Linked DNA regions of Kluyveromyces lactis. Each later gene encodes a partner of the first gene's protein in a complex. Links are inferred from orthologs where the notes say so. Each region holds a gene or a part of one and is shown in the gene's direction. Other genes may lie near its edges.

Region 1 (2,732 bases):
CTGAAGATCAATACGGACCATCTGCCAACGTCTGGATCACAGCAGTCAACCCAAAGTGCAGATTCGATGACTTCCAATCTAATATCCATGTACGATAGCGAACCAACAACAAGCAGCAGCACAAGCCTGGTAAACCATGGGAAAGAAAGTGAAATTATAGAGCACGATAGAGATGATAGCACAGATGAACTTGAGTCAGATATATGGCAAACTTACAAGATCCATGAACAAATTGATACGTTGGGAATATTGGGCGAAGGAACTGGAGGATCGGTCACGAAATGTAAGTTAAGGAACGGTTCAAAAATATTTGCATTGAAGACCATTGCCACGATAGAGAATGATGGCTCAGAGAAACAAATATTCAGAGAATTGCAATTCAACAAGAGTTGTAAGTCTGATTTCATAGTGAGGTATTACGGGATGTTTGCATGCGAAGAAACCTCGACAATTTTTATTGCGATGGAATATATGGGCGGAAGATCGCTAGATTCGGTGTACAAGCACCTTCTCTCTAAGGGGGGACGAATTGGTGAGAAGGTTCTGGGGAAGATAGCTGAGAGCGTACTTAGAGGACTATTTTATCTACACGAAAGAAAGATCATTCATAGAGATATTAAGCCACAGAACATATTGTTCAACGAAATAGGACAAATAAAGCTCTGCGATTTTGGAGTCAGTGGAGAGGCAGTGAACTCTCTTGCCACCACGTTTACAGGAACATCATACTACATGGCTCCAGAAAGGATACAGGGCCAGCCATACAGTGTTACCAGTGATGTATGGTCTTTGGGTCTCACACTATTGGAAGTTGCACAGGGACACTCACCATTTGATACGGATAAACTAGCAGCAAACATGCCCCCTATAGAACTTTTGATGCTTATCTTGACTTTCACACCTGAATTGAAAGATGAACCAGAACAAGGCATAGTATGGTCCAAATCCTTCAAATCGTTCCTTGATTACAGTCTGAAAAAAGATTCAAAGGATAGACCATCTCCAAGACAAATGCTACAACACCCCTGGATGGTGGGACAAACCAAGAAACACGTTAACATGAAGAAGTTTATTCAAACTTGTTGGGCGGATTGATTGCTAGCCCCTACTGGCCCACTAGATAGAACATGCAGGAACATGTATAGATAAATCATTTCTCAAATGGCTGCATGTCACGTGTTCCACAACATAAATCGGATCAAGTTTCAATTTTTTCATAGAGTTTGGTTTGAATTGAAAAAATGATCATGAAAGAGAGAAAGAACCGTATATAAGAAGACATTTAAGAAGAAAGAATTAGTAAAACAACCCAATACATCTTACATACCAACTGTCACTACCTCTTATTGACACTCAGTTGGATTTGAACTCACTTTGTTTTGCTAAATAACCACTGTTAATAGTGAGACTCAAGTCGACCAGAGAATATTTACTAACAGAATACAATAAAATATGAGACCATCAACCAGATTCTTGAGAAGCGTTACCAGAACTGTTCCAATCGGTTTCAGATCTACTACTGTGCCATTTGTATCTAGCACTTTGAGATCTAGTGCTGCAACCTCCAACCAGTTTTCTGCTAGGTTTTCCGGTGTTAGATTCTATGCTGATGAAGCCAAGAAGGAAGAACCTAAGGATGAGAACGATGCAGCTGCAGCTGAAGAAGACGCAAATTTGACTGAAGAGCAAAAAAAGATTAAAGATTTGGAAACCAAGTTGGATGCCAAGACTAAGGAAGCCTCTGAATTTAAGGACCGTTTGTTGAGATCAGTTGCTGATTTCAGAAATTTGCAAGAAGTTACCAAGAAGGATATCCAAAAGGCCAAGGATTTCGCTTTGCAAAAATTCGCCAAGGACTTGTTGGAATCCGTCGACAACTTTGGCCATGCTTTGAACGCTTTCAAACCAGAAACTCTGGAACAATCTCAAGAGCTTTCTGATCTATATACCGGTGTCAAGATGACCAGGGACGTTTTCGAAAAGACTTTGAAGAAGCACGGTATTGAACAACTAAATCCAATTGGCGAATCTTTTGATCCAAATAAGCACGAAGCTACTTTCGAATTGCCTCAACCAGACAAGGAACCAGGTACCGTTTTCCACGTTCAACAAATTGGTTACACTTTGAACGACAGAGTTATCAGACCAGCTAAGGTCGGTATTGTTAAGGACAATGAAAATTAGAAAATCTCTCAATAAAGAACCCCGAACCCAAAATCGATCTACTTCAAATGACCTTACCATGACTTATAATTTACGATAATGCTTGTTTTATGAACCTTCTAACTTTTTTTCCCCTCCTCACTCCATTTTTCTTTCATTCTGCATGATAACATCGATCAGCTTTTGAACGGAAAACATCTCTTTTTGTTCGCAGCAGGTTTGACTTTTATGTTCCCTCATAACGGTCATAATGGTCTCGCCACAATGACCCTACTTAATTCCCATGTAAATAAACTTGCACATATGTATATGAATTCTCTACCATGATCCAAAATGAAAGGACCTTTCTTTCTCTTATTAAAACGGTCTGTCATCCGTTAAGGTACGTCCGAGAGCATGAACGAAACGCATAAGTAAGAACATCCAACCCCTGCAGGCTCTACATCTTTAGTATACTCTGAACTCAATCTTCCATCAGCCACTCCACCCAAAACGGTATCTATATGAGCCCTCAAATCCTCAGAGGAAGACATATCAGTATCTACTGTTTACATTCTGGCTCTACGCCT
Region 2 (2,559 bases), on another chromosome or scaffold:
TGAGATCTCTTTTAAATCGTCCAGAAACGAAAAGTACAGATTGCCAAGGGTTATAGTCTGAGTAAAGATAACGCTTGACAATCACTGGGCCTTATAGTTCCCAGAAATAGTCATTACGTTTAACGGCAGGTCCGTTAATCTGGTTGGTGAATATCCGTATTCCACGTTAACCTGTGTCAACAGCTGTGATGCGGTAAAATCTATACGAACATGCGGTGGCCCAATTGCTTGAGATGTGACAACATCGGTTCGTTGTCCACCTTTATATCTCAAAATCAGAATCTGATCCTGTTCCAGCATGGGCAGATCCCATTGGATGGTACCATCCACTTGGTTATAAAATCCAGTAGGTTTAGATAAAATATCTTGGGCCTTGGTGCCTATCTTTATACAAACTTTCAATAGTGTATAATTGACAGGAATTAAAGGTCTTAAATTGATCATTGAGATGATCTCGGCCTCTTTGAACTGCCATACGGGTGTCACTAGAATCGGACATTGAACCTGTGGTAAATTTGTCACTGCATATTTCACTAATCCTGTAACCACGTTGTCCCATTCGCGTTCACGTTTCAATTTGTATATATTCTGAACCACATCCACTGGCTCCAGGAATGTGTCGTTAATCTTAACGGAACTAACATTATTGAATTTCATATACAAATCACTCGTTCTTTGATCCCACTTGGTACCATTGATGGCAACTTCGCCAACAAGTGATACGTTCGTTATATTATCGTCTGTGATAACACATGACAAAGTCTCTACTATATCACCATTAATCTCTGGTAATGGTGGTGACTCTGAATCTGGTCCTGATTCTCTCAATTTCAGTATATTCTCCCTCTCCTGTAACTGTAGCAGTAATTCCTTGGATCTGACAAGTTCCTGGGACACTTCAGAGAACAATTCACTATTACTATCGAATTTTGTCTCTTTGAGTTCTTCTAGCGATTGAATATAGCCCTGCACTATTTCTGCAAAAGCTAGAACATCAGACATTATAACAGAAAGACTTACTTTTTGAGACGTGCAAGGCAAACAATATAACCTATAACTATAATAGACAGCTTTAGAATAGTGAAAGTATCATGCAATGATGAACGGACGTAACATATATCTGTATCAAATGAAGATCTATTCGAGATATAACACCATTTGATCAAGAGATTGGAAAAAGCGGTACTTTCATTACCCGGACGTGGATATTGAAGCTTGTCAATTCCAAAAAAAAGTTTGGAAAGCTACCAAATGAGCTTATAACATGATTTCAATAAGGAATGTTCGAGGGGTGGATCCAGATCACCTGTTTGAACTAGCATCAAACAGCCAATTCTTCTGCTGTGTTACTCGATAAGTAGTATACTCGGATATCAGAGGCAATAAGAACCAAATACCACGGAAAAATAGCCCAAACTATGTTGAGACTAGGAATCAATCTACAGAACCGTCTTTTGGTTGGACTAAATGGACAATCTCTTTTGAAAAGAGCCGTTACACGCAATGCCGTTGCCATCAGAATGAATAGCACTAATGCTGGTAAGACAGCTTCTCATGAAATGACATGGCCAGAATTCTTCAAGCTACGTAAAAAAGAACGTGTTTTCAACACGGCTTCTTCGGTTGCGACAGCCATAGTATTCGTTAACGGTTCGTGGTTTTACTTCTCCACTTTGGAAATCGATCCAACTCAAACAATCTTTGGATTCGATCCACTAATGGCAATTACTGCTGGTATGATCACATGTGCTGCTGTTGGTTGGTTATTGGGACCAATTGTGGGTACTGCATTGTTTAAGGCCACTTCCGGTCCCAAATTATTACAGTTTCAAGAGAAGCAACTTTCATTTTTGGCCAAAATCCAAAAGAACAGAGTCAATCCTCAATCACAATCTTTCAGTAACCCTGTGCCGGATTACTACGGTGAAAAGATTAATTCGATACCACAGTACAGACAATGGCTAAGAGATTGTCATTCTTACAAAAGAAAGGCTAGTGAGTTCTTGTGAAGCGGAAAAATACCAGAAAAAGTATGATGACTATCACTCTCCCACCCAAGGAAACGCCTTTCCGTAAGTACAAGTAAATAGTAAATAATAAATAGTGGTTGATATCTAAAGAAACATTCGTTAAATCAGCATTAGCAATTGCGTAATGGTATATGCCAGAGAAACCGGAATGAAAAGGATCGATACCCAACAAAAAAAAGTATATTTGGATGCGGCGAGGTTCGAACTCGCGCCTGTTAACATTAACAGACCTGCATATTCCGGGTAACCGTGTCCGTCACTCGCAATCCACTTCTGCTCTACCCGCACCCAATAGCCGCCAAGCAATCAGTGAAGATTTTCTGGAGGACCCACAAATTTTTGATTTTCGGACCAGGCCCCTTACAACTCGCACAAAACTGCGTAGAAAACCTCTGTTTAAAGGTTTAAGGAAACGGCTATCGCAATTTTCTTGGCCCCCCCAAAGGTAAAGCAGAATGTGTCAATTGGAAAGCGACGGAGACGGTTTTGATGCCGCATTGAGTCCGCATGCTCATTTCTTGTCCCTGAA
Region 3 (2,490 bases), on another chromosome or scaffold:
ATTTACAGTTAGTCAACGGGATAGTTGATGATGATGATGATGATGAGGAGCTTGCGGTTGGCACTCCTGTACGGACTGCAGTCGTTGTAGATGACGCTACTGTACCTTGATCAGAAGAAGAGCAACTTTTACCAGAATCAATAACAGTGGCAGCCAAGTGTTTTTTCGATCCCGGTCTCAAATTCTCAACTTCTTTCACTGATTCCACAGGTTCTTGTTTAATCTTGGCATTAGTACTTGAAGCAGAAGCAGGCGTAGTGGACTCTACAGCCATACCCTTGACATTTGCCAGTTGCTGCTTTATCGATAAAGAAGGACTGGGTTTTCTACCCGGTTTAGGCCTCGGTGGAAGAACCCAGTGCCTAGACGTTCGAATCGTGATCCCAGTGGGTTTCTCATGTTTCTTCGGCTGTAAATTAGGAGCAATTGTAATCTGCTGATGAGGCCCAGTGTGTCCGTGAAGGGGCTCCAATGAAACTGGCCTGGACATTAGTTAATTCTTACTCTGTGTCTGAAGTGCTTTTATTATAGAATTCTCTCCGGACCAGCGAAAACAATATTAACTGGTTCGGAACCGGAGCCGTAACCAGAGTTGCGAAGTATGCGTTTGAAAGTAGGATACAAAAACCTTACGGCGAGATGCAACCTAAATTAGTTTGAACCACCTGCGATACGATTGAATCACGCTTGTTGAGTCCTTGTGTGTCTGTTAGAACCTGTTTTAGTTTCGGAGAAGTCGTTTGTTTCGGTAGAATTAACTACTCAACTTTTCAATTTAAACCGAAATTGAGAGAGAGAGAGAGAGGGGGAACAATGGTAAAAATGAGGGCATGATACATCAAGACGAGCCATCATGAATTTATATATCTCAGGCCATAAGATAGTATGGCCTGAGTACTAAGAGGTATCTCAAGTTTGAAATGGGGATTGGGTGTTGAGTTGCTAATAATTGATCACGTGACCATGACCCCAGATACAAAGCCACGCTCCCAAACTGGATCCCCCCCCTCCTCCCCGTTACAGTACTACGCTAGTACTAGCATGCTGAATTCACATCCCCAATCAATGCAACAGCAGCGTAGCTGCTGTTGCTGGGATCACCTATCGTTTAATTTCTTGATACCTGCGTCGTTTCCGATGCCACATTCTACAATGTGGAATGAGAAGCTAAAACCTCATAAAAATACCCTATAAAAAGCCTGAATGAGCGAATGCAATTACAAACTCCATCTGTAGTCATTGTAGACTAGCTAAATCATTCTAATGAGGCATAGCTGTCAACCAGATATATAGTTATTTGACGGTGTCACAGCAAATATGTGGGGCTGGTCTTGACATCCCCGGGTAACCCCTTCTGTTTTCGAAAAGTCATCGAAAAGTTGAGAACAGAAAGAACTGGAACTAATAACAGCATTAAACACTAAACTACTCATCGGATTAACTTCTAAGCTTTGTCTAAGAACGCCGTTCCAGTTCGAGTAAACTGCGCATATCCAAGAAATACAACAAGACTATAGGATATGGCACACAGAGCGTTTATACAGGTGATTTTCACCGGGGCACAGGTGTTTGGACGTGCGTTTGCGGAATCTTACAGACAAGCAGCAGCTCAAACAGCTAAACAAACGGCAAATGCTTCTAGAGGCCGTGGTGCTAGCGCAGAATACGGAGGTATCACTTTAGATGAGAGTTCTAAGATTTTGAACATTGAGAATGAACAGGATATGAATTTGGATAAAATCAACGAAAGATTCAAGTATTTGTTCGAGATCAACGATAAAGAGAAAGGTGGATCATTCTACTTGCAGAGTAAGATTTACAGGGCAGCAGAGCGTTTGAAGTACGAGCTTGCTGAAAAGGAAAAGGCTGCCAATCCAGAACTGAATCAAGAACAAGCGAAGTCGAGTTCCACGACGGAGTCACCGGAGTTGAAAAAATAGCGTAAGGTCATTCTCTCTGGCCTAGTATAAGTTTTGTAAATAGTTCAAATAAACCGAAATACACGCATCGCATGCTCATCGTATCATGTTCAGCACAATATCATCAGTGGTTGATGAAGCTGATTTATGTCTACAACTAATTAATACAAAAATTCTCTAGAAGATGGGAAAACTGTTCCATCATGAAGAAGGGCACAACGGAGAGTGAAAATCCAAACTCTCAGGCAGCCATTACGCAAAGCCCTCTGGATCACATGCAACACCTGGAAGAACAACTAGAGCGAGCTGTTAAACCGCTTCTAATCATCACTTTCCAGACCTCTTCATAATGGTTAAAAGAAAGAAGTGATGCAAAAAACCGGGAAAAGGAAGAGACTTCCCCTCCCAACTCAATGCGCTTCCAACTTTATTGATCTAAGAAACCGGAAACGAAATGGAAACTGTGGCCAGCTTGTTTGGGGCTAGTCAGGATCCATTCAGCTATGGGTTAAAAAATGGTAACAGTCACTCTTCTCCAGTATTAACTAAAGCCGTTCCTAGATCTCCGAAG

What was found. The genes of interacting proteins can lie anywhere in the genome.
Region 2: MGE1 (region 1) and PAM17 share a complex: the UniProt entries of both Saccharomyces cerevisiae proteins name them as parts of the PAM complex. The link is inferred for Kluyveromyces lactis from reciprocal best matches to the Saccharomyces cerevisiae genes MGE1 and PAM17.
Region 3: MGE1 (region 1) and PAM16 share a complex: the UniProt entries of both Saccharomyces cerevisiae proteins name them as parts of the PAM complex. The link is inferred for Kluyveromyces lactis from reciprocal best matches to the Saccharomyces cerevisiae genes MGE1 and PAM16.

Annotation. Positions count from the first base shown.
Region 1 is NC_006040.1:623,655-626,386, forward strand, and holds MGE1 (mitochondrial nucleotide exchange factor MGE1), read left to right. Parts: upstream 1-1,452; coding exon 1,453-2,184; downstream 2,185-2,732. Other genes in the region: mitogen-activated protein kinase kinase MKK1, read left to right, coding at 1-1,095. UniProt on the Saccharomyces cerevisiae protein: Essential component of the PAM complex, a complex required for the translocation of transit peptide-containing proteins from the inner membrane into the mitochondrial matrix in an ATP-dependent manner.
Region 2 is NC_006037.1:561,590-564,148, reverse strand, and holds PAM17 (Pam17p), read left to right. Parts: upstream 1-1,418; coding exon 1,419-2,009; downstream 2,010-2,559. Other genes in the region: KLLA0_A06127g (uncharacterized protein), read left to right, coding at 1-61; SYP1 (Syp1p), read right to left, coding at 82-1,002. UniProt on the Saccharomyces cerevisiae protein: Component of the PAM complex, a complex required for the translocation of transit peptide-containing proteins from the inner membrane into the mitochondrial matrix in an ATP-dependent manner.
Region 3 is NC_006042.1:1,282,758-1,285,247, forward strand, and holds PAM16 (import motor complex subunit PAM16), read left to right. Parts: upstream 1-1,520; coding exon 1,521-1,940; downstream 1,941-2,490. Other genes in the region: transcription factor HAP4, read right to left, coding at 1-490. UniProt on the Saccharomyces cerevisiae protein: Essential component of the PAM complex, a complex required for the translocation of transit peptide-containing proteins from the inner membrane into the mitochondrial matrix in an ATP-dependent manner.